Ovis aries: one gene and its partners. The protein of the gene in region 3 purifies or fractionates together with the protein of the main gene of each other region. This does not show direct contact. Links are inferred from orthologs where the notes say so. Each region holds a gene or a part of one and is shown on either strand. Other genes may lie near its edges.

Region 1 (7,422 bases), on a different chromosome or scaffold from region 3:
CCCGAACCCGGGTCTCCCGCATTGCGGGCAGACGCTTTACCGTCTGAGCCACCAGGAAGCTCCACGCAGAACTGATATCTAAACAGATGTGAAGAAATGCATGTACTGGGGAAAAAGGAAACTCAGTGAAAAGCTCAACAGAAGATGTTAACATCCTCTTGGATGATGGGCGATGTTCCCACAGCTAGAACAGGATGCCACAGATTAGCATGGCCAATTAACACTAGATAAACCCTTTAAGCAAAGATGCAGTGAGCCTAACACACTGAATGTGAGCGCCTGAAGATAAGAGTCAAAGCTATCATAAAGAACAGAAAAATAAACAATAGCAAAATAACAAGATAACAGGAGGCAAAGCAAGAACCTAGAAATTTTGGACTGAGAACACAACATGGCCACACTACTATATTTAATAAAGATATAACCTATAGGAACCTACTGTATAAAGAACACAGAAAACTCTGCTCAGTGCTCTCTAACGACCTACACAGGGCAACAAAACGAAAAACAATGGGTCTGTATATATGTATAACTGATTCACTTCGCTGTACACCTGAAGCACAACACTGTTAGTCAACTACAGTCCAAATACAAAACTAAAACTAGAAAAGAAAAACAAAAAACTTGGAGAGTATTATCAAAGAAACAACCTAAAAAAATAAAAAACTCTCCAATAAATAGACCATGAAGTTTCCTAGTAGATGGAAAAAAACTCAGCAACAAGAGGTTAGAAACCAGGATGAGATGAGAGCCTTCAGAACAGCAGGAACACATAAGGCAGGGCAAGGCTTTTCCCAATTCCCATCAGGGGCTTTCAATCTAGAACTTTACACCCACACTTCTGACTGTCGGGATGGATAAAGCCATTTTCAGCAAACTGAGGACTCAAACTGAACAAATGAGTCGACTTCTTCAAAACCTACCTGAAGAGCTCTGATGGGAAAAAGAGGAGACAGTGGGACTGAAAACAGAAACCAGCCCATGGGAGCCTGGACAGAAGGTTCTAGGATAGTTACTCAGCTGCTGAGTGGAGCTCCAGTCCTCAGTGGAACAGGAGGATGCCAGCGCTGAGAGGGAAGTTTGCAGGCAGGAAAAGAAAAAAGACATCCATTGTTTCAACCCATGGCAAACTACAACCCATACGCTTGCAAAGAGCGCACTCATCCGAAAAGCCCCTGATGCTTGGAAAGACTAACCACGAAAGAAGGGGGCAGCAGAGGATGGGATGGTTGGATGGCATCACTTACTCAATGGACATAAGTTAAGTGTAGTTGCTCAGTCGTGTTCGACTCTTTGCAACTGTAGCCCACCAGGCTCCTCTGTCCATGGGATTCTCCAGGCAAGAATACTGGAGTGGGTTGCCATTTCCTTCTCCAGGGGATCTTCCCGACCCAGGGATCGAACCTGGGTCTTCCGTATCACAGGCAGATACTTTACCCTCTGAGCCACCAGGGAAGCCCCAATGGGCATAAGCTTGAGCAAACTCTGGGAGATGGTGAAAGACAGGGAAGCCTGATGTGCTGCAGCCCATGGGGTCAGTCAGATGCGACTGAAAAACAAGGCGTGTGAAATAATGATGCTTTGAGAGAAAAATTAATAACCAGCAAAATCAGACAAATAGGAAGAATGAAGAAATGAAAGCGCTCTGGGGGGAGGGTTAAGAGGAGAACAGTACCCTCAAAAAGCAGCACGGCTCAATACAGTACCCGCCTGAGCAGCGAACGCTATTTTCAGCCCTAGAAAATAAGACTGACAATCTGACTGAAGCTCAGGTTAACCACATCCATGGTATGAAGGATGAGGCTGCAGCGGGTGAGGGGGAGGCAGAAATGAGACCTCAGCAGTCACGGTAGGAAGTTGAGAGACCACTTCTACACCCGACTCAGGCTATTTACAAGCTCAGGTCGCTCGTACTCAGCTGCCAAAGGGCAGAAGGGAGAAGGGGGCCGGGCTCCCAGAGTGACAAGGGGAGAAGTCATTTAAACTCTGGGCTTCGCTCGCTAAACGCGCCTAGCTAACGGGTCTTGGGCCTCGAGCCAAGAGATCCGCCTCTGGACCTTCCTCACTCCTCGGCGGGCCTGGAACCAGGCGCGCCGTCACCCCCACCTATTACAGGAACCAGGTAAGCCCCGGACCACAAAGCCAGCAAACCAGAGGACTCAGGGAAGGCGCCCCGGGTCCGCTGCGACCCGACCCGACCCAACGGGCCTTTGCAACCGGAGCTCCCTGCGGGAGGGTGGGGGTGCTGGGCCGGCCCAGCGCCCGACGGGTAGAGAGCCGATGCCGCCCTCAACCCAGCACTTCAGCCACTCCCCTCCAAGGAGTCCCCCGGGGCCGCCGCCCTTGTCTCGCACTACTACTAATCCTCACCCACGATTTCGTCAAGTCCACGGGCTCCTCACACACTGCCTTGGTCTATTCAGGCGCCACAGCCACCGCGACGACCTCGTCCTGCGCACGCGCGCCGAGAGCTCAGAAAGCACTTCCGGGGACAGGACGGGCCGGGCCTCCTGCGTACGCATGCCCGGCCCGCCCAATGGCGCGGGCGACACGCTGATAGGCTGAAGGAAAGAGGGGAGCGGAGTGCAAACCGGAAGTCGAAGTGCGCGTGCACCCCGGATAATTTCGTTCTTTCGGTCAGTACCGCTCGCGCAGGGCCAGTTTTCGCGGGGAGGGTAGTTGCGACTCGCCTCCCACCCCTGGCGCCTGTTCGTTTGAATAACGGGCACCACCGGTCGTGGGGATGCTTTATTGTTCCCATCCCGGGTTCACGTTATTACATGGTCATATATGACACCGTCCATTTTGCCTATAGTCCCGTTCGCCCCAGGAAGTGCCCGCTCCGTCTTGACGGCCTCCGAGACGCTTCCGCCACACGCCGGTGATTGACAGACCGAGCGGCCCGGGAGCGCGCAGGCGTAGTAGCTCCGGCTGCGCTTCCGGGACGGCGCCGTAGGACCCTTGGCGCCGGCCTCGGCGAGCGTTGGGACGGCGGCCGGGAGGGCGCGGCCGGCGTTCCGCGTTCTGGGTACCGGCGGCGCCATGCGCTATAACGACAAAGAGCTGCAGGCGTTATCCCGGCAGCCTGCCGAGATGGCAGCCGAGTTGGGCATGCGGGGACCCAAGAAAGGCAGCGGTGAGCGGTCCGGGACGCCGGAGCGGGCGGGCGGCTGAGGGGGCGGGAGTGGGCAGGTACTGAACCCGCGCGATCCCGCCTTGTGCTCGCAGTGGTGAAGCGGCGGCTGGTGAAGCTGGTGGTCAACTTCCTTTTCTACTTCCGGACGGACGAGGCGGAGGTAGGGTGGTAGAGAGGATCGGAGTGGGGGTTAGGTTCGGAGTTCGGAGTCGGGGACGGGGCGGGGTCGAGGTCGGGTGTCAGAGCAGGGCGGGCTCGGGAATCGGGGGCGGGGCAAGGGGCGGGCGGGTTCCCGGGGTCCTCCCCCATGCGCCTATTTGCCCGCAGCCCATTGGAGCCCTGCTGCTGGAGCACTGCAGAGTCATCCACGAAGAACCCAGCAGCTTCTCCATCAGTGAGTGCGGCCTGGGACGAGGCTGCTTGTCCCCGCCCCGGCGTGGCCCCACCTAAGTCCCTAGAGGCTGAGTGCAGTGTCCGGGCAGCCTCACGCGCTGGCCCTCCCGTGGGGCCCAGTAGCCTAGACGGAAGCGATCCGAACGGCCGCCGTTGTCTTGTTGGGGAGCATTTCTCTCCCGGCGTGCCTCGCTGCAACTGTTCCATTTCTCCTGTGAGCAGGGCTTGTGCTGGGGATCCGGGAGGGTTTTCTTCTCGGTGCTTTTGAGAGGGTGGGGTCTGCAGGGGGAAAGATAGAGCTTCTACTAGTTTCCGCTGGAGGCCGCAAGAAAGTGCCACAGACTGGGAGGCTTAAATAGAAAAATGTATTCCTCCCTGTTCTAGGGGGCGAGAAGTCTGACATCAGAGTGTCAGCGCGTCTGCTTCCTTCTGAAGGAGAATCTGCCCAGCTTCTGGAGGGGTCGTTGGCAAAGCTTGTCTTGTAGAAACATCTCCCCATCTTTGCCTTCATTTTCTGGGATCTTCTCTCTTGTGTGGTTGGGTCTAGGTTCGGCTTTTCTTAACAGCAGTTCTATTGGATTAGAAGTTCACCCTCCTGCGGTGTGAGCTCAGCTTAACCACTTAACTACCTATGCCTGTAGTGACTCTGTGTCCAGATAGAGTCCCTGTCTTGGGAGATACACGTTTTAAGACGTGAACGTATGTTTTCTGGGGGACACGATTCAACCCACAGCCAGCTGTTGGGAAGCAGTGGGCCCAGACCGGGGCTGTAAAAGGAGGTTGAGGCCTGGGTGGGGGAGGTGGGAGGGGCAGGGACATATGGGGGCTGCTCCCTTCCCAGGCTTCCTGGAGGACCCAGAGAGGAAGTACCACTTCGAGTGCTGCAGTGAGGAGCAGTGTCAGGAGTGGATGGCTGCGCTGCGTCGAGCCAGGTGGGGTGCTGACAGAACCTAGGGCCAGGCGGAGCCTAGGGCAGTGCGGGGCCCTGGGGGCTCACTCAGCTTTCCTCTCCAGTTACGAGTTCATGCGGAGGAGCCTCATTTTCTACAGGAATGAGATCCAGAAGATGACTGGCAAGGTGTGTGGGGGGGTGGGGGCAGGGGGCGGGGGATGGGGGCCTCCTGGGCTCAGGCTTTAAGCCCACCACCCTTGTTGTCCACCCACGCAGGACCCCCTGGAACAGTTTGGCATATCAGAGGAGGCCAGGTTCCAGCTGAGCGGCCTGAAGGCATGAGGCCGGGTGGGGCTCCCCAGCTGTCCTGTTGTCGGACAAGGCCTCCCTGCCCTCCCGGCCTCAGATTTCCTGACCAACCCTGGATTTGCTGTGGGAAGTGTCTTGGTTTAAAGACTTCAAACGCCCCAGGGTGGGCAGCGGCTGCCTTGTTGCGAGGAACCACCCAGCAAGTGTCCTCTAGACACACTGGGAACCACTGGACTGGTTTGGTACGTTGGTGCTACCTGCTGCTGCCAGGGGACCAGTGCCCCCTCCCATGAGCTGTGCCCTGCCCTTTGGGTGCGTTGACTCAGGGCCTGGCAGGTGCAATTCTCCTGCGCTGGGCAGGCTGAATGTATAAAGTTAGGTGAAGCTGTGAAGGGCGTGGGACTGTGCTGGGGCCACTGTGAATTCTCCTGCTGAAGGGGCAGGCCCTGGCCGGACGCCTCTGGGCAGTGCTGGAAGGCTTGCCTTTGGGGTGGCCAGTATATTCTGTTCAAATAAAGGTACCTCTTTTCCATACGGGCCAGTGGTGCTGTGACTGCAGAGAGGGACGTGTGTCCTCTGCTGTGCGCCTGTCCTGCATCTGCACAGCCGTTCCTGAGGGAGACGAGGCTCTTCCCAGGTTCAAGGTTGAAGTGCCTGGGAGCAACAGAGTGGGGGGGCCTGGAACCCAGAGCCAGGAAGGTCAAGGGGGGCTGGGACCCAGCCTACAGAGCTTCTGGCACTCACAGGCCCCGTCTGAGTGCCAGCAGGACCTCAGGAAGGGTTTGTTGGTGGCGTTAAGGTCGCTAAGTAGTCGGTTTAGGAAGGCTAAAAGGAGACTACCCTGGGTGGTCCTGACCTGGTTATAGTTGTCAGTCCTTGAGCAGGGGCTGGGCCTCTGAGACCGGGGTTGGGGAAGTCATTGTGACTTGTCTGTCGTGGCCACCGTGCCTGTCTTCAGGAGCAGGTGGGGCCTCTACTGGGAGCGACCGTCCTCCCTGCTTGGGGACGGTAAGCACTGCCCTGGGCCCTATGCACTCCAGGACCTTGCCGTGTCATCACCAGGAAGAAACACTGCTGCCAGACTAGGTTCAAGTGAAAACAGGTATTTTATTACAGCGTCTAGAGATGGATATGCAGTGCAGTGGGGTTCCCTTGGGAAGGGAAGGGAGTTAGCACCCCAACTGAAACACAGGCTACCGAAACGACAAAGCCAAGCCCGTCTGCATTACAAACCAAGGTGCGACAGAGCGAGCGTGGATGGATGTGTGAGAACAAACAGTCCTACAGTGGATGGGCGGGATAAATAACGGAGGAATCTTAAATAGTTCACGATTTGACTTGTAGCTAAATGGAGGGCTGTGTCCCCTGACCAGAGGGTGTCTTCATTGTTAGGGTTTCCTGAGCAAAGCAACCGTAGCCATCGGACTTCCTGGAGTGGAGTGAAGCACCTGGGTCAACAGCAGCAGTGGGGCTCCTCCCCACGCCCAATACCCTGGTGCCCCCTCCTTCCTGTGGCAGCGGCACCCAGGCCAAGGCAAGGGGCTGGGGCCGGATGGTGGGTGTGGAGAGGCCAAGCTGGCCCCACTGTGGGGCAGGCCCTGTGCACGTGTGTCTCTCCCTGTAGCTTGGAGGGCAGACAGGGCACGGTGGCCCACAAGCCATGCAGTGTTTGTGTACAGTGTCATTTGTTCAGATGGGGCTCCTCAGGCAGCCCCGCAGCTTTCTGTTGGGGGTGGGGAGCCTCTTGAAGAGGGGTGAGGGCAGGGGGCAGGAAAGCACCATCATGCACCCACCAGGAGCACCGACTTGGGGTGGAGGGGGCAGGGCAGGGCCGGTGGTCACAGGAGGAGGGGAGGGCTCCATCTCCAGCTTCAACTGCCGCTCTGAGCAGTGGAGAGGTGGCCAGAGGTGGGACACTGTCCTGCTCTGATCCTGTGGCCTGTATCTCACCGGGCCTCCACCTGCCAGAAAGGCTGGCTCCAGACCCACCCCAGGAATGAGGTGGCGGGCTGGGGCTCGGCTACCATACTGATCCTTGGGGCAGCAGAGGGCCCCACTCCACAGAGGTGGGTGGTGGTGGCCAGGCTGGGGAAGGCTCAGGTTAGATCCCTACATGGAGGCCCACCTCTTGCGCTCCTTGGTGGGTGCCACCTGGTGGGGGGTGGTGAGCACCTGAGGACAGGGCTCTGACTGCCCACGCCCAGCCTTTGGCTGGGTGCCCACCTTGGGGTCTGGGCCCCCTGCCAGCACCTTTGGCCAACATTGGCCCTTCCAGGGAGGCACACAGACAACACTGCTGCACCAAGGACCCAGCATAGTCACAGATGCTGTGTGGCGGACGGAGAGCCCCACCCACCACCTCGGAGCCTTAGGGACCAGCCCTCCTGCCCTGCCACCCCACCACATCCCTCCCGCATGGAGGGGTGTGGCTGTGGGGGGCGGGGGGAGAGGGTCACTCCAGCTATGGGATGGTGGGTGGGTGGGCCCTGGGCCAGCACCTATGTGCACGTGAATAAACAGCAAGGTTTCCCCTCACTTTTCTTTCTTCCTTTTTCTCTTTAGTTTACTGTGTATTCATCATACAGTCTAAAAATAAATGAAGTCAAGTCTATGAAATTTATAAATTTTCATCACATCTCTATAAAATACTGTCACCCGTCAGCGTGACTCCCCTGTAGACACACCAGGCACC
Region 2 (7,422 bases), on a different chromosome or scaffold from region 3:
CCAGTACTCTAGCCTGGAGAATCCCATGGACAGAGAGGAGTCTGGCAGGCTACAGTCTGCTGCTGCCGCTAACTCGCTTCAGTCGTGTCTGACTCTGTGCAACCCCATAGACAGCAGCCCACCAGGGTCCCCCCTCCCTGGGATTCTCCAGGCAAGAGTACTGGAGTGGGTTGCCATTTCCTTCTCCAATGCATGAAAGAGAAAAGTGAAAGTGAAGTCACTCAGTCGTGTCCGACTTCGAGACCCCATGGACTGCAGCCTACCAGGCTCCTCCATCCATGGGATTTTCCAGGCAAGAGTACTGGAGTGGGTTGCCATTGCCTTCTCTGGGGCTACAGTCTACAGGGTTGCAAAGAGTTGGACACAACTTAGCAACTACACATGTAACAACATAAAAGGTGTCTACATAAGCACAAAAGGATTCAGATTAGTTCCAAAGGTTAATTGTGACATGGAAATTACAGCTAAATTACACAGCTACGGACTAATTTCCATTAACTATTTCAGGTCTCTCTTGCTATATCCTGGCAGAAGAAAAAGAGAGAAAAAGAATTTCTTTCCCTTAAGTAATTTACTCCTAAGTCCACCATATGACTATGTAAAAATATAACCTGGAGTTCCTAGAAGTCCAGGCTACACACTCACATTAGCCTTTTGTTGTATTTATTAAATGCGACAAGACGGGGACTCAAGGTGAATTCAGCATTCTCAGTAATGATTAGAAACAAGAACAGATCATTTCTTTCAAGTGTGCAGTTACTGATTAATTTTCTTTGGCAGCAAAGAACTAGCCAATTCAAGTTTTTCTCCTAAAAGATAATTTCTTTTATTGTGAATATACCAGTGTAGTTTTCTAAAAAGCATGATAGTTCAAAGATAACTGTTATCTTCACGAAAACATGTAAGAGCATTACATCAGAATATTATATCTGAAGACAACTGAAGGCATTTTCTGACACTACCTAAAATATCCACAAATTCTGTTTATTTCTCATCACTTAATGCTTGTGGCAGGAGCCTGAATGCCATTTGATCCAATTTTTTAAAAGTCAGACAGTATTACTTACTAAAAAATATATTCTTATTCGCTCTTACTAAAAAGTTAACCTAACCAATTAAAATTAAAGAAAGGAAAGGAAAACCCTCAAACTACTCAGATGCTGGTAATGGTATGGATGGAAGGGAGTATGAAACAAAACAAGGACAAATTTACTCTCTGGGAACAATTAAAAAAATGAAACTTCGGTTTGATGTAAGAATCACCAGGAAGTGGGAAAACTGAGGAAGACTCCTATGTAAGTGCTTCTCCTTTGTTTTTGAAACCAGAAGTGGCTTGTCACAATGTAAACATGGAAAGGAGTACCATGTGGAATAGTGATTAGAAAGGTGAAAGAATGACTGTTACCTGCCTTCTGTGGAGAAGACAATAAAGTAGGAAGTGTTTATCCATGCTTTAAGGCTTGTGCTTAGTGTGGATAAACACAATTCAAGTTTAGTACAAAAACTATTCTTTCTAATTTTATGGAAAAACACCCACTCCAGTATTCTTGCCTGGAAAATTCCATGGTCAGAGGAGTCTGATGGGCTACAGTCCTGGGGTTGCAAAGAGCAGGACGCAACTGAGCATACAAGTTCAGGTTTAAGTATCAGATAAAATTTTCGTTATATATACCAGCACTAGTTGCTAAGCTGAGTCCCACTGAATGGACAGTCTAACATGGGCCAGTAGATCAGGGTGCAAAGTATCAAACGCTGACCATCAAAGGAATAGCTATCTACCATAAACAGCTTTCAAGGTTGTAAGATGAGTGCAAAATACGACGTGTAATTGGTAATTTAAATGTTTGGCAACAAACCTCAAAGTCAAATTTCCTTAGAAATATTTGATCTAAAGTTTTGTTTCTAAAAAGATCAACATGAAATGATACATGTTAAAAAGGTAGCAAAGTTCTATCACATCTAAGAAAACCAAGACAGAGTCTCAAGTGAATTTAAAGTCTCTCAGTCGTGTCCAGCTCTTTGCAACTCCATGGACTGCAGCCTACCAGGTTCCACCGTCCATGGGATTTTCCAGGCCAGAATATTGGAGTGGGTAATCTTTCCCTTCTCCAGGGATCTTCCCGACCCAGGGATCGAACCCAGTTCCTCCGCACTGCAGGCGGATTCTTTACCAGCTGAGCCCACCAGGGAAGATAGAGCTTAGCCAATAATAACAAGAAAGTAATTATTTCAGTACCACTTCCCTGGTGGCTCAGACGGTAAAGTGTCTGCCTACAATGCCTTAGACCCAGGTTCAATCCCTGGGTTGGGAAGATCTCCTGGAGAAGGAAATGGCAACCCACTCCAGTATTCTTGCCTGGAAAATCCCATGGACGGTGGAACCTGGTAGGCTATAGTCCATGGGGTCGCAAAGAGTCGGACACGACTGAGCAACTTCACTTCACAATTATTTCAGTAACAGCAGGCAACAGGTTCCCCGGATAAGAATCTCCATCAAAAAAAAAAAAAAAAAAAAAAGGCAAAAAACACACTGCACCTAGACAGAAACAGAACACAAAATTTCACAGGCTGAAATATCAATATGATCTTCGAAAGGGGTTTTAAACTTACCAGTTTTCTAAGTTTTCTCTCTCTACCAAAACCAAAAACCCAACAGCAACAAATCTAAGGCTTTCACCAACCCAAGAAGTGAGGTTTAAAAAATAAACACGGTAGAGGGTTCTGATGTTAATAAAAGGGGCATTACTAAAACTACTTCCAAAATCAAAAAGAAAGTCAACTCAAACCCCACCCCTGGCTCCTGGAGGGGAGCGTGGCTTTCCCTAGTCAGTGGCCGTCGAGAACTAAACGCCCCAGCCCCAAGGAGCTGGGGGAGGAAGGTAGCGAAGGGTGAACGCTAATTTCGCCGACAATACTGTAAAATAAGCAAACCACCGCTCCTGGCCAATTAACTAAGCGCGACTCAAAGTTCCACCACGTAATTTGGGCCTGGACCTTTTTTTTTTTTTTTTTTAAAGCAAACAACGTAATTGAAAGCAGAGTCATTTCCCTCTTGGTATTTTATTCATGCTGGAAATAACATTCAAATCGAAAAGGTAGCAAAACAAAAGAGGAAAAAAAAAAAAACACAACACAAGAAAATTGAGGGAAGTGGAAGCGCGCGGGACGTTTCACTGGGGTTTTTTTCCCTCCTCAGGAGCCTTGACTCTCCGGCCTGCATTTTAAATTCCCAGTCCGGCCGGGCGCGGGTCGGACCCCCGAAAGCTGCCCGCGGCGCCGGGGGGTCCCACCCTCTGCGGAGGGAGGAGAGAACGCGGCTCCCGCGGCGGCGGCGGCCGGACGCGCGGAGCGGCGGAGAGTGGACTCCACTCGGGACCGAGTCGGGGGCTCCCGGCGGGCGGGCAGCTCCTCAGGGCGGGCGCCGGGCAGCTGCGGGAACTTTCCCTCCCTCCGTGCCCGGCCGCGGCCCACACGCTCAGGCGCAAACTTTGCAGACGGCGCCGCGAGCGGCCGGGGTCCCGCCCCGCGCCCCCCAGCCGAGACCCCGAGCGCCCCGGCCCCGGCCCCTCGTCCGCCCTGCGTGCCCCGAGCCCGGCCCGAGCTGGGTGGGCCCCGGCGCGACCCCTCGGCCTCCCCGGCGGCGCCGCCGCCCGCGCCCCCGCCCCCGGCCGCGACCCTCCCCCGCGCCGCCGCAGGGCCGAGCGGCCGGCCCGGGGCCCGGGCCGCGCTCCCCTCACCTTGGTGGCCATGGCGGGCGGATCTCCCCCCCGCCCTCGGCCCGGGACGGTCGGCTCCTCTCCCGCGCCGCGGCTATCGGCCCCAGGCGGCCGGACGAAAGCGAGGGCGGCGGCGGCGGCGGCAGCTACGGCTGGGCCCCGGCGCGGCGGCGGCTCCGCCCCGGCCCCGAGTCTCGGCTCTGGGCGACTCCAGCCGCCGCCCCGCTCCTCCAGTTCCTGAAACTCCCCGGCTGCGCGGCCCCCGCCCCCGCCGGCCGAGCCTCCCATCTACCGCGGCGTGCGCGGCGCGGCCGGCGGAAGCGCGCCCGGTGCCCTGGGCCGGCCCGGCCTCCTCTCCCACTTTCCGCCCCCGCCCGGAGCCTCCGCCTCGGGCCGCGCCGCCGGCGCCCTTTGTCGCAGGGCTCGGGGCCGCGTCCCCCGAGCGGCGGCCGGGGTCGGGCCGGATCATGGTCCCCCCACCGACCGCGTCCCGCCTGGCTGCCCCGCCGTGGGGACGGTGGACGGGAGTGAGGGACACGCTTATGAGGGAGCGCCTGCCGGGGAGCCGAGTCCCGAGCGGCCCTTCAGCCGGTCACCGCGACTGAAGTGTTTCGCTGTGGAGATACAACGGGGCCCCCCAGCACGACGGGCTCGAGTCGCGGACGGGGTCTTTGTCCCGCGTCGGCATGGCTGTGGGGCCGGTCGTGCTCGGGGCTGAGTGAAATGAGTGTGGAGAACGCAGCCGGCACGGAGCGCAGCAATGGCTTCCAGGTCCGCTGGCCCTTCGCGGAAGACCCGCCGCCCGCCTGGAGTTGCCCGCGGGCTGTGGTCCCCGGCCCGGAGCTTCAGGGCCCCGACGCTTGGGGCTTTCGTTCTGAGGCGTCCCGTTAACCTCCTTCTGGACTCCTGATAAATTTAAAAAACGCCTCCGGGCCCCGGAGGTTAGGGGGAGACCCAACAGGTTTCCCGAAATGGAAATTTTAGAAGTCTTAAAAATTTCCATTTTTCTTCAGAGTTGGATGTGTGTCCTTTGTTATCAATAATACATGAATGAGTTGAATAGCAAGATTTTCGCTCAAGTACGAAAGATGTGACTGAAAGACATCTCTTGATGGAAATATTATTACAGTACATTCTATTTTATCACGGGGATATGTACCTCGTAAAAGAGGCAACTATCAAAATTCATCTTTAAGCGAGGAAAGCGGTACAATTAATGTCAAATTTTGTCCTCTCGAAAATATTCTATTTGATCTCCAGAAATTTAACTGGTTACCTTCTACAAAGAGGTTTTAAATGGATATGGTACTAAAGCATTTTCGGTGAATTTTTGTGTTTGTTGAGTTCGGGAGCTACGGCTATTATCAATCATGCTGTTTGTTAGTCGCTCAATCGTGTCCGACTCTTTGGGACCCCGTGGACTGTATCCCACCAGGCTCCTCTGTCCTTACTGGAGCAGGGTGCCATTTCCTCCTCCAGGGAATCGTCCCAACCCAGGGATCGAACCAACGTCTCCCGCATTGCTGGCAAATTCTTTACCACCTGAACCACCAGGGAAGCCCAGGTGGCCCAAGTGAGAAAGAACCTGCCTACCAGTGCAGGAGAGGTGAGAGACATGGGTTCCATCCCTGGGTGGGAAGATCCCACGAAGGAGGGAATGACAAACCACCCCAGTATTCTTGCCTGGAGAGTTTCATGGACAGAGGCGCCTGGTGGGCTACAGTCCATGGGGTCTCAAAGACTCAGGCACGACTGTGAAACTAACACAAGCAACTAAGACCCCACATGCCATGCACAGCTTTGCCAAAAAAAAAAAAAGAGGTAATGATAAAAGGAACATTCTGTACAGTACAATCCATTTGTGTAAAAGAACAAAATGAAAATAGGTAGTATATACCTAAGAAATTGCTGAGAAGATTCACTAGAGGCTACTGTCAGAATTTTTGAATATGTGTGTGTGTTGCTTTATCTTTAAAAAAAATTTACATTTTAAATATTCATTTTTATTTATTTGTCTGTGCCGGGGCTACTTGTATTGTGAGATGTGGGATCTTTAGTTGCACCATGTAAAGTCTTAGTTGCAGCATTTGGGATCTAGTTCCCTGACCAGGGATTGAACCTGAGTGCCCTGCATTGGGAGCGTGGAGTCTTAACCACTCAGCCAACCAGGGAAGTCCCAAAGCAAGTTTACATTTTAACAAACAACTAAATAAATCCCTTGGCTAAGCACACAGTAATATGTAGAGAAGTCAGGATTTGAACTTGGATAATACTGTAAGTAATGAATTTTCCTTATTTTCTATTTGAAAACTGGCTGCAGCACCCTGTAGCAGTTTAGCAATGCATATTTTGATAAGAAGATGCAAAGTGAGGATCCCTCCTGTGACTGTGCCTTTCTGTATGCTTATTTGGCAAGTTCTGGATACCCAGTCATCCTGGGCACCAAGAAAGCAAGCAGATCAGAGTCCAGGCTTTCCCTACTTGGACAAGTTCTGTAAGCCTGGCTCATTTTTAGAAAACCAGTTGACACCAAACTCAGAATGACCAATGCAAATTAGCATAAATGTTTAAATAAAGGTGAAGTCACTACTTATGTTATTGAGATGGGCATTAATTTATAGAGCCTGGAAGAGTAGTCACTGACATAATCCTCATGCGAACCTGATGTTCAGCTCCATCTCACACTGCCCTCCCCAGGCTCTGCTTCAACCATCCTGGCCTCCCACATCCTCCTGAATCCTGATCTTTACATTCTGTTCCATGGAGAAGGCCAGGACTGGCTATGGGGCGTGTGACCTCTGTCGTCTCACAGGGCCTCATCCTTGCTTTAATGTTCTGTTCTCGCCATCTTTAAATTTTTAATAGTTTTGAACAAGGGGCTTCACTTTTTCATTTCGTGCTGGGACTCTCAGGTTACCTTGTTGATGTTGTTTCTTTGAAATACCCACCAATCACCCCTCCTCCTCCTCCACACCAACACCCACTAACCTCCCACTCATCCTTCAGAGCTGCCCAGAACCCTTGCAACAGACAGAGTTTGTTGGGGATATCTTCCCTGTCCCCAGTCTAAGTCAAGTTCTGTTGATACAGAATTTCATGTACTGGTTTCCTTGCCTTTGGAAACAACAGCTTGTCATTCATTTGCCTGCCTTTCCCACCAGACTGTTAGTTCAGGAGAGGAAGCCCTGTGCCCCTGTCTTGCACCAGACTCTAGCATCATGCCAAGCTCAGAATAAGTCCCTGCTAATACTTTGTGAAATGAATGAATAAATGAATGGATGACAGGTTTTGGAAATACAAATTAAGCAATATATTCAGTGTTCAATGGCATTTGCCTGAGTTTGCTTGCTTGAAAGAATTCTGTGGACCATGTTTAAAAACCACCATCTCTATCATCATCTAAGTTAATGTGACATATTACACAATACAAATCTTTTGAATGTTTTATTAATCAATAATGTTTTTTGCAAAAATACCCTTCAGAACTGTTATTCCTCTATGACAATGTTTTATGAGGTAATGTTGATTTTGACTGGTATAATTGAAAATGAAAATGCTCAACTTGGCAGTATTTATTGGAGATGCAGTACCCAGTTTATTAATAAAAATGCAATAAATAAATAATTGTGTTTACAATAATATGCTTTAGATGCTCTTTAGCATGACATCTTTTTTTGTTAGCCATGACTAGAGGCATGCAGGATCT
Region 3 (7,422 bases):
CCTTAAATATAGCACTTAACAGACTCCATTACAGGTACATATATAACTATATACATACATACAAAAAACTACATGCGAATCTCTCAGATTTGAACTCCATGAAAGCAAAGACCCTATTATATTCAGTTTTGTCTCTTACCTAATAGATGATCAATAACTTTGGTTGAATAAACATTTAATTAAGCTACAAAGAGAGGTGAATTTCTAAACATACTTGGTCAGCTTTTGACTTTAGAAGTCATTCTTTAGAAGGGCCTAATTTCTATTTTGTTGTCTTTTGGGGGCTTGTCATTTTAGCTTTTTGATTTTTTTTTTCAAATTGGTTAACTTTGAAGGGGTAACTTGGGGGAAAGAAATGCTTAGATAGAAGTAAGAGAAATAAAAGTACTAATGCCGTTTTTCTGCTCTGATTCTACTTGCCTAACTTTCAGGGATTTATAGTTTAAGGTGATTAGAAAGAAGAATATGGGGGCAGGTCCTTCTCAAACTGCAAAGTTCATGAGTTGAGTAGAGTCCTATAAACCCAGATGTAGACCAGAAACTAGATAAGACTGACAAAATAATGGTCAACGAGAAAGAGCTTACTTTAAGGAAAATGAACACAAACCAATGTAATCCCCAAGTAAAGTAATACAGAAATGATGTTGAACATTAACAGTAAAGTTTCAACTGGATTGTCTTGTTAAAAACCAACACAAAACAGACAACACGGATGGACCTTGAGAGCATTATGCTAAATGAAAGAAGGCAGACAGAGAAAGACAAATACCATATGATCTCATGTGTGAAACAGAAAAACAAAACCCCCAAATACTGAACTCAAAGACCCAGAGAACAGATTGGCAGCTGTTAGAGGCAGAGCATGGGGGTGGGTGGGTGAAATGGGTGAAGGGGGTCAACAGGTACAAATGTCCAGCTAGAAAATAGTTAAGTCCTGAGGCTGTAATGTATAGCATGATGACTATAGTTTATAATAATGTACTGTATATTTGAAAGTTGTTAAGAGAATATGTCTTAAAAGTTCTCATCAAAAGAAAAAAAATGTTGAAGGAACTTCTCTGGCAATTCAGTGGTTAAGACTCTGTGCCTCCAATACAGGGGGTACAGGTTCAATCCCTAGCCCCGGAAACAAGATCCCACATACCACGTGGCACAAAGACAGAAAAAGACTTATGGTAGTGATCATTTTAAAGTGTATACAAATATCAAGTCATTATATTGTACACCTGAAACTAACATAATGTTATAAATATCAATTTAAAAAAGAAATGAGACCCACCCCCCCCAAAATCAAAAAACATAAGCTGGGAATTCAAGTCAAGTCCACAAATATTTCCCTAGGAAATACTCTGATTTGTTTAAGGAAGGTTAAAGATGAAACAACAGGTTGCATCATAATCTATTTACCTTGAAAAAAAAGAATGTCAGTGTTTGATTCCTTGTGTGCAATAAAGTCATTTTCAATTGTAATTTTAGTCTCTCAAGTAAATTTCTCCTATGGTTAACAGCAGGAACTACAAAACTAAAGAAGGCACCCAAAAGACACGGATTATACAGATGATTTGACAGTATGAGGTGTCTCCAATAATGTAATGTCTCCAATAAATGATTTCAAAAGAAACTTCTCAGATATGATGTAATTCTGAGATGTTATATGGCTTTAAATCTCAGCTATGTTACTTCCTGACTGTGAACAAATGACTTAACCTCTCTAAACCTCCATTTCTACACCAAGGAAAAGGGGATGACGATGATAATATTACAATTTCACAGCAATCCTCACATGAGAGTTAAATGAACTAATTCATGCAAGTGCTTAGAAGAGTACCTGACACACATCAAGCCATTGAGTGTGACTTGTGTTATACTCATAACTTATACAGAACTGTAACATAGAATTTGATTTCTCTAGGGGGGAAGATAAAAATAATCAGGAGAGCTACCACTGCAAGTTTAAAAGTGCTTCCAGTATATGAGACCAGATAGAAAGAGGTGTTTCTCTCAAGGCCAGCCGCTTGTTCCCTTATCAGCCGAACAGTTCCAAACCTACAGAACCAAGGGACCAGATCCTGGGATGTGGTCATCTCAACACTGTAGCTATTTTTATTTAATCCTCATAATTTAAAGAAGAGGAAACCGAGGCACAAAAAATTTAATGGTTTGCCCAAGGTTCACATCTTCCCATTCTATTCTTGCCTTTGGAAGTGGTACTGGTGTTCCACTTTTCAATTCACTTTTCTGTTGAATTTACTTTCATTAAACTGGTCTTCCAGTTTGATGAAATCTGGGAAAAATAAAATGAACTTATCACATCAACAGAACTGACCAACCAGAATCTAGGGAAGAGCTACTTCCATAGAACCAGCTGACATCCAGTTTGAATGGCACCAAGAGTTTCAGAATAGGGCAGGCTAGGCTAATGGAAATTTCTTCTCTGTAAACTAGACAGCATAGACAAAGATTGAATCTGGACAATCTAAAGGCAGGGGCTGAAAAAAGTTGTTTTTAAGCAGAATTCATTGTTGGGGGATGGCAGGATTTAAGTGATTGACAATTCTTCACTGATGTCAAGAAACCAGCCAACAACTAGGGGCGGTGGCTGGGGCATAAAGGGATAGGGACCTACCTATATAGGATAGTCATCAGAGATACTTTAGATGAAACATTAGTGGCAAGGAAATGAGATCAGCAGCTATAGTGATGGCTTATCAAAATCTTTTGATCAACCAGTCAACAGTCTTTACTGAGCTCTTATGTCCAAGGCAGAGTGGGAGGTAACACACCCTGATGAAAGGCCAAAAGTCGTTTACATTTCTATACATGTCATTACTTTTTCTAGCAGTCAAGTCAGTAAGTGAAACAGTTACTGGCCTACACAAAATCATGACTGAATTAATGAATATGCCTTCAAGCAAATGGAATAAAGGGGTGGGAGACTGGAGGAACCAGTTGAATGAGATTAAGAGAAGGTTAACAATGAAGCGTTTTTACAACACTTTTACTTCTTTGTAAACCACTTTCATATTTATTATTCTCTCAGTTAACTCCAAAGGCTATAAGGTAAGGCAGTTCATGTTTTTATTAAACTGATGAGGACACTAAGACCCAGAAAGCTTTATTGACCAGCCCAGGATTACACAACCCATGTCAGTTGCAGGGGCAGGAACTAAGAACCCAGGCTTCCTGCTTGCCTGCCCATTGAGCCCTTTCCTGAGCCACAGGCCAGAGCAAACTTGGGGAGAAAGCCAGGTGGTTAGAGCACTGGCACTTCACACCCGGGCCGAACCTGTTGCCCACGTGGCCTCAGTGGGAGGACGGTGCGTGGCTTGTCGCGGTTTGGGGTTGGGAGGTAATGGCAGGCTCCCCTCCTTTGTGGGTATCAGGTGGTTACTTACTCATACTGCCCGTTCCTCTGGACTAGGGTCAGCGCGCAGGGCTCCCGGAGAGGACCCTTCATCTCCATACCCTCGATAGTATGCGGGCGCTAGTCAAGGGTCTTCTCTACAAGCGCGGCCCAGGAGGGGACCCGAGGTGCAGGGTGGCGAGAGGCTCCTGCCCCTCTGCCCACCCTTCCTCCCCAGCGTCCGAGGCAGCGCCTCCCGCGCTGGCCCCCCTCTCCCGCTCGGCTCGGCTTTGGGGCCCGATTGCCCCCTAGCAGCCCCTCCGCCGCGATCCGCAGTCCCGCGGACCCCCACCCCCGCCCTGCGCGGCCTCCCCTCCCCCTTCTCTCAGGCGGATACAGTAAGGGGCTGGGCTCCAATCGGGAGCGGCGGCTCCATCCCGGCGGCTTCCAGGCTCGGCGGGGCTGCGGACTGCGGGCTGATCCGACGATACTGCCTCCCGCGTCCTCACACCCCTCAGCCTCGGCTGCGCGTCCTTAGAGAAACAGCTCCGTGCTGGGCGCGGGCAGCCCGCAGCCTGGAGCCCAGAGCCGGGAGCCGGGAGCCTGACCCGAGAGAGAGCGGCGCCTCCCACCCCCGCCAGTTTTCCAGGCCGCCGCAGATTCCGCCCCCTGCGGCCAAGCTGCGGAACTGCAGGCCAACCCGACGGACTGGGGGCGTCTCCCCCACGTCCAGCAAGGGATAAGTTTTCAAGGCTGTCTGTGACGCCAGACTTGTTTGGGGGACTTTGAAGGTTGCCATAGAAACAAAGTACAGTCATACCCATCAAATAACTCAAAGGTGTTGGGGCCACTAGGACCCACATCCTCCATTCAAAATATCCTTATTATGGTTAACAGAATGGACCGTGCTGGACCTACCGCTCAGATGTCCTCCCACCTCACTCCATCCTTCCACCCCCTAAATCGGAAAAATCCCCAGAGATCATACCTTTGCTTTCTCTGTCCCCCTTTAAGCTCACTTGTAAGCAGGCAAACACCAAATGTATTATCCCTGGCCCACATCCCTTGCCTAATATAACTCATTGTTGGCAAAACATTGGATGACAAAAACCCACGGTTATTTCACACAGCGATGCAGGTTTGACATTTCAAAGCCATGTGCTTGCTTGTGTCTCCTGCATTGCCAGGCGGCGCTAGTGGTAACGAACCCACCTGCCAAAGCAGAAGATGGAAGAGACGCAGGTTTGATCCCTGGGTCGAGAAAATCCCCTGGAGAAGCGCATGGCAACCCACTCCAGCATTCTTGCCTGGAGAATCCCGATGGACAGAGAAGCCTGGCAAGCTAGAGTCCATAGGGTTGCAGAGAGTCAGACACGACTGAAGCGACTTAGCATGCATGCACCTGGGAAGCCCCATATGCTTGCTCTCCTGATTGCTCCGTATCCAATCAGCCAACAAATCTTATTAATATGTTCTTTGGAATTACTTTTAGATTCTTTGTTTTCTTGCCATTCACACTGCCATCACTGGAGTGTAAGCCCTTGTGATATCTCATTTGACCATTTTACTCTGTTGACAGTCATAAGAATATTCTTCCTAGAGTAATGTTTCAGTTGTGTTATTCTTTTGTTCAGTGGTCTTGTATGGATGTGAGAGTTGGACTGTGAAGAAAGGTGAGCACCAAAGAATTGATGCTTCTGAACTGTGGTGTTGGAGAAGACTCTTGAGAGTCCCTTGGACTGCAAGGAGATCCAACCAGTCCATTCTAAAGGAGATCAGTCCTGGGTGTTCATTGGAAGGACTGATGCTAAAGCTCAAACTCCAATACTTTGGCCACCTCATGCGAAGAGTTGACTCATTGGAAAAGACCCTGATGCTGGGAGGGATTAGTGGCAGGAGGAGAAGGGGACGACAGAGGATGAGATGGCTGGATGGCATCACTGACTCTATGGACATGAGTTTGAGTAAACTCTGGGAGTTGGTGATGGACAGGGAGGCCTGGCGTGCTGTGATTCATGGGGTCACAAAGAGTCGGACACGACTGAGCAACTGAACTGAACTGAACTGATTCTTTTGTTCAAGACTCTATGCTGCTGCTGCTTCTGCTGCAAAGTTGCTTCAGTCGTGTCTGACTGTGTGACCCCATAGACGGAAGCCCACCAGGCTCCCCTGTCCCTGGGATTCTCGAGGTAAGAACACTGGAGTAGGTTGCCATTTCCTTCAATGCATGAAAGTGAAAAGTGAAAGTGATGTTGCTCAGTCGTGTCTGACTCTTAGCGACCCCATGGACTGCAGCCTACCAGGCTCCTCCATCCATGAAATTTCCAGGCAAGAGTACTGGAGTGGTGTGCTCATTGCCTTCTTCACAAGACTCTATGATGAACTATATATCAAGACTGACTTTAAACCTGTATTAATTAACACAGTGTGGTATGGAGGTAGAAAGACCAATGGAATCAAATACTGAGCCCCAAAACAGGTCTACACACATATGGAAAGTTGATACGTGGCATATTTGACTTTTCAAATTAATGTAGGGAAAATGGATTATCTACTAAATGGTGCAGGGAATATTGATAATCCACATGGAGAATTATAAAATTAGATCCCTATCTCACACCATAGAGGGGAAAAAAGTCAATTCCCTGTGGGTTAAAGATCTAACTGTGAAAAGCAAATCTTTACAACTTTCAGAAGAAAATAGGAGAATATTGTTATGACCTAGGGAATGGGAATGATTACTTATGACCCTAAAAAGGAGGAAGTAGGGGAATTGATTGACACATTTAGCTACATTAGATATCAAAATGTATGCACTTCAAGATAACATGAAAGTATGAAACGTGGCAATATCAGAATATAAAGGACACATATACTTAGTTACAAACAAATTGCACTGCTAGACATTTACTATATGGTTAACATGTAGCTGTTTCCAAAGAAGAATGTACAAGAATGTTCATCTGAGCATTTCTTTTTTAAGAATATAAAGAAATACAAATGAACCTATGGTCCATTCATACTGTGTGAAATGCTATGCAGCTGCAAAAATTAAAGTGGTAGGTCTCTAAATACTAGCTGATTCAGAAGGCTGGCCAGTATATATTGTTGGGTGAATAGAATAAATCACAGAACAGGCAAAAAAAAGATAACATCAACAAGTTAAAAGACAAGCCACAGGCTGGCAAAACATATTTTCAGTAACTATAACTGACAAAGGATAACCTATGAGGTTCTACACTCTAGGTGTCATACCTAACTCACTCTCCTACCACTCACTCCAACTCATTCTGCTTAATTACACTGTTCCATGTTATTCCTAGGATTTGCCAGGCACAGTCTTGCCTCAGGGCCTTTGTACTGGCGGTTCACTTTGCCTGCACTCTTGGGCTTCTTTGGTGTCTCAGATGGTAAAGCACTTGCCTGCAATGTAGGAGACCCAGGTTTGATCCCTGGGTTGGGAAGATCCCCTGGAGAAGGGAATGGCAACCCCCTCCAGTACTTTTAACTGGGAAATCCCATGGACAGAGGAGCCTGGTGGGCAACAGTTAATGGCATGGAGTTGCAAAGGGTCGGACACGACTGAACAGCTAACACTTTCAGAGAGATTTGCCTGCACTCTTAACTTCTTCAGGTCTTTGCTCAAAAGTCACTTTCTAAGAGACGTCTTCCTAGACAACTTTACTTGAAACTGCAGTTCAGGGGCTTTCCTGGTGGCTCAATGATGAAGAGTCTGCCTGCCAATGCAGGAGACACGGGTTCCATCCCTGGTCTGGGAAGATTCCACATGCCAAGAAGCAACTGAGCTCCTGTGCCACAACTTTCGAGCCTGTGTTCTAGAACCTGGAAGCCGCAACTACTGAGACTTTGTACTACAACTACTGAAGCCTGCATGCCCTAGAGCCCATGCTCTACAACAGGAGAGTAGCCCCCACTCATTGTAACTAGAGAAAAACCCATGCAGCAACGAAGGCCCAGCACAGCCAAAAATACATAAATAAATACATTAAAAAAAAATAAAAGTCATTGTGTGAAATTTTATAAAGGTTTTTTAAAAATTGCCATTCAACAATTTCCTT

What was found. The genes of interacting proteins can lie anywhere in the genome.
Region 1: the proteins of OCRL (region 3) and PLEKHJ1 purify together in Homo sapiens (co-immunoprecipitation; 3 studies listed by BioGRID and IntAct, counting the BioPlex papers as one, with this or other methods). This does not show direct contact. The link is inferred for Ovis aries from reciprocal best matches to the Homo sapiens genes OCRL and PLEKHJ1.
Region 2: the proteins of OCRL (region 3) and SNX9 purify together in Homo sapiens (co-immunoprecipitation; 3 studies listed by BioGRID and IntAct, with this or other methods). This does not show direct contact. The link is inferred for Ovis aries from reciprocal best matches to the Homo sapiens genes OCRL and SNX9.

The regions. Positions count from the first base shown.
Region 1 is NC_056058.1:19,178,527-19,185,948, reverse strand, and holds PLEKHJ1 (pleckstrin homology domain-containing family J member 1), read left to right. Parts: upstream 1-2,941; 5' UTR 2,942-3,042; coding exon 3,043-3,136; intron 3,137-3,228; coding exon 3,229-3,296; intron 3,297-3,463; coding exon 3,464-3,530; intron 3,531-4,370; coding exon 4,371-4,461; intron 4,462-4,543; coding exon 4,544-4,607; intron 4,608-4,697; coding exon 4,698-4,763; 3' UTR 4,764-5,264; downstream 5,265-7,422.
Region 2 is NC_056061.1:82,165,779-82,173,200, reverse strand, and holds the start of SNX9 (sorting nexin-9), read right to left. Parts: upstream 4,053-7,422; 5' UTR 4,005-4,052; coding exon 3,738-4,004; intron 1-3,737. UniProt on the Homo sapiens protein: Involved in endocytosis and intracellular vesicle trafficking, both during interphase and at the end of mitosis. Required for efficient progress through mitosis and cytokinesis. Required for normal formation of the cleavage furrow at the end of mitosis.
Region 3 is NC_056080.1:113,485,239-113,492,660, reverse strand, and holds the start of OCRL (inositol polyphosphate 5-phosphatase OCRL), read right to left. Parts: upstream 3,949-7,422; 5' UTR 3,780-3,948; coding exon 3,741-3,779; intron 3,694-3,740; exon of another isoform or gene 3,467-3,693; coding exon 3,396-3,466; intron 1-3,395. UniProt on the Homo sapiens protein: Catalyzes the hydrolysis of the 5-position phosphate of phosphatidylinositol 4,5-bisphosphate (PtdIns(4,5)P2) and phosphatidylinositol-3,4,5-bisphosphate (PtdIns(3,4,5)P3), with the greatest catalytic activity towards PtdIns(4,5)P2.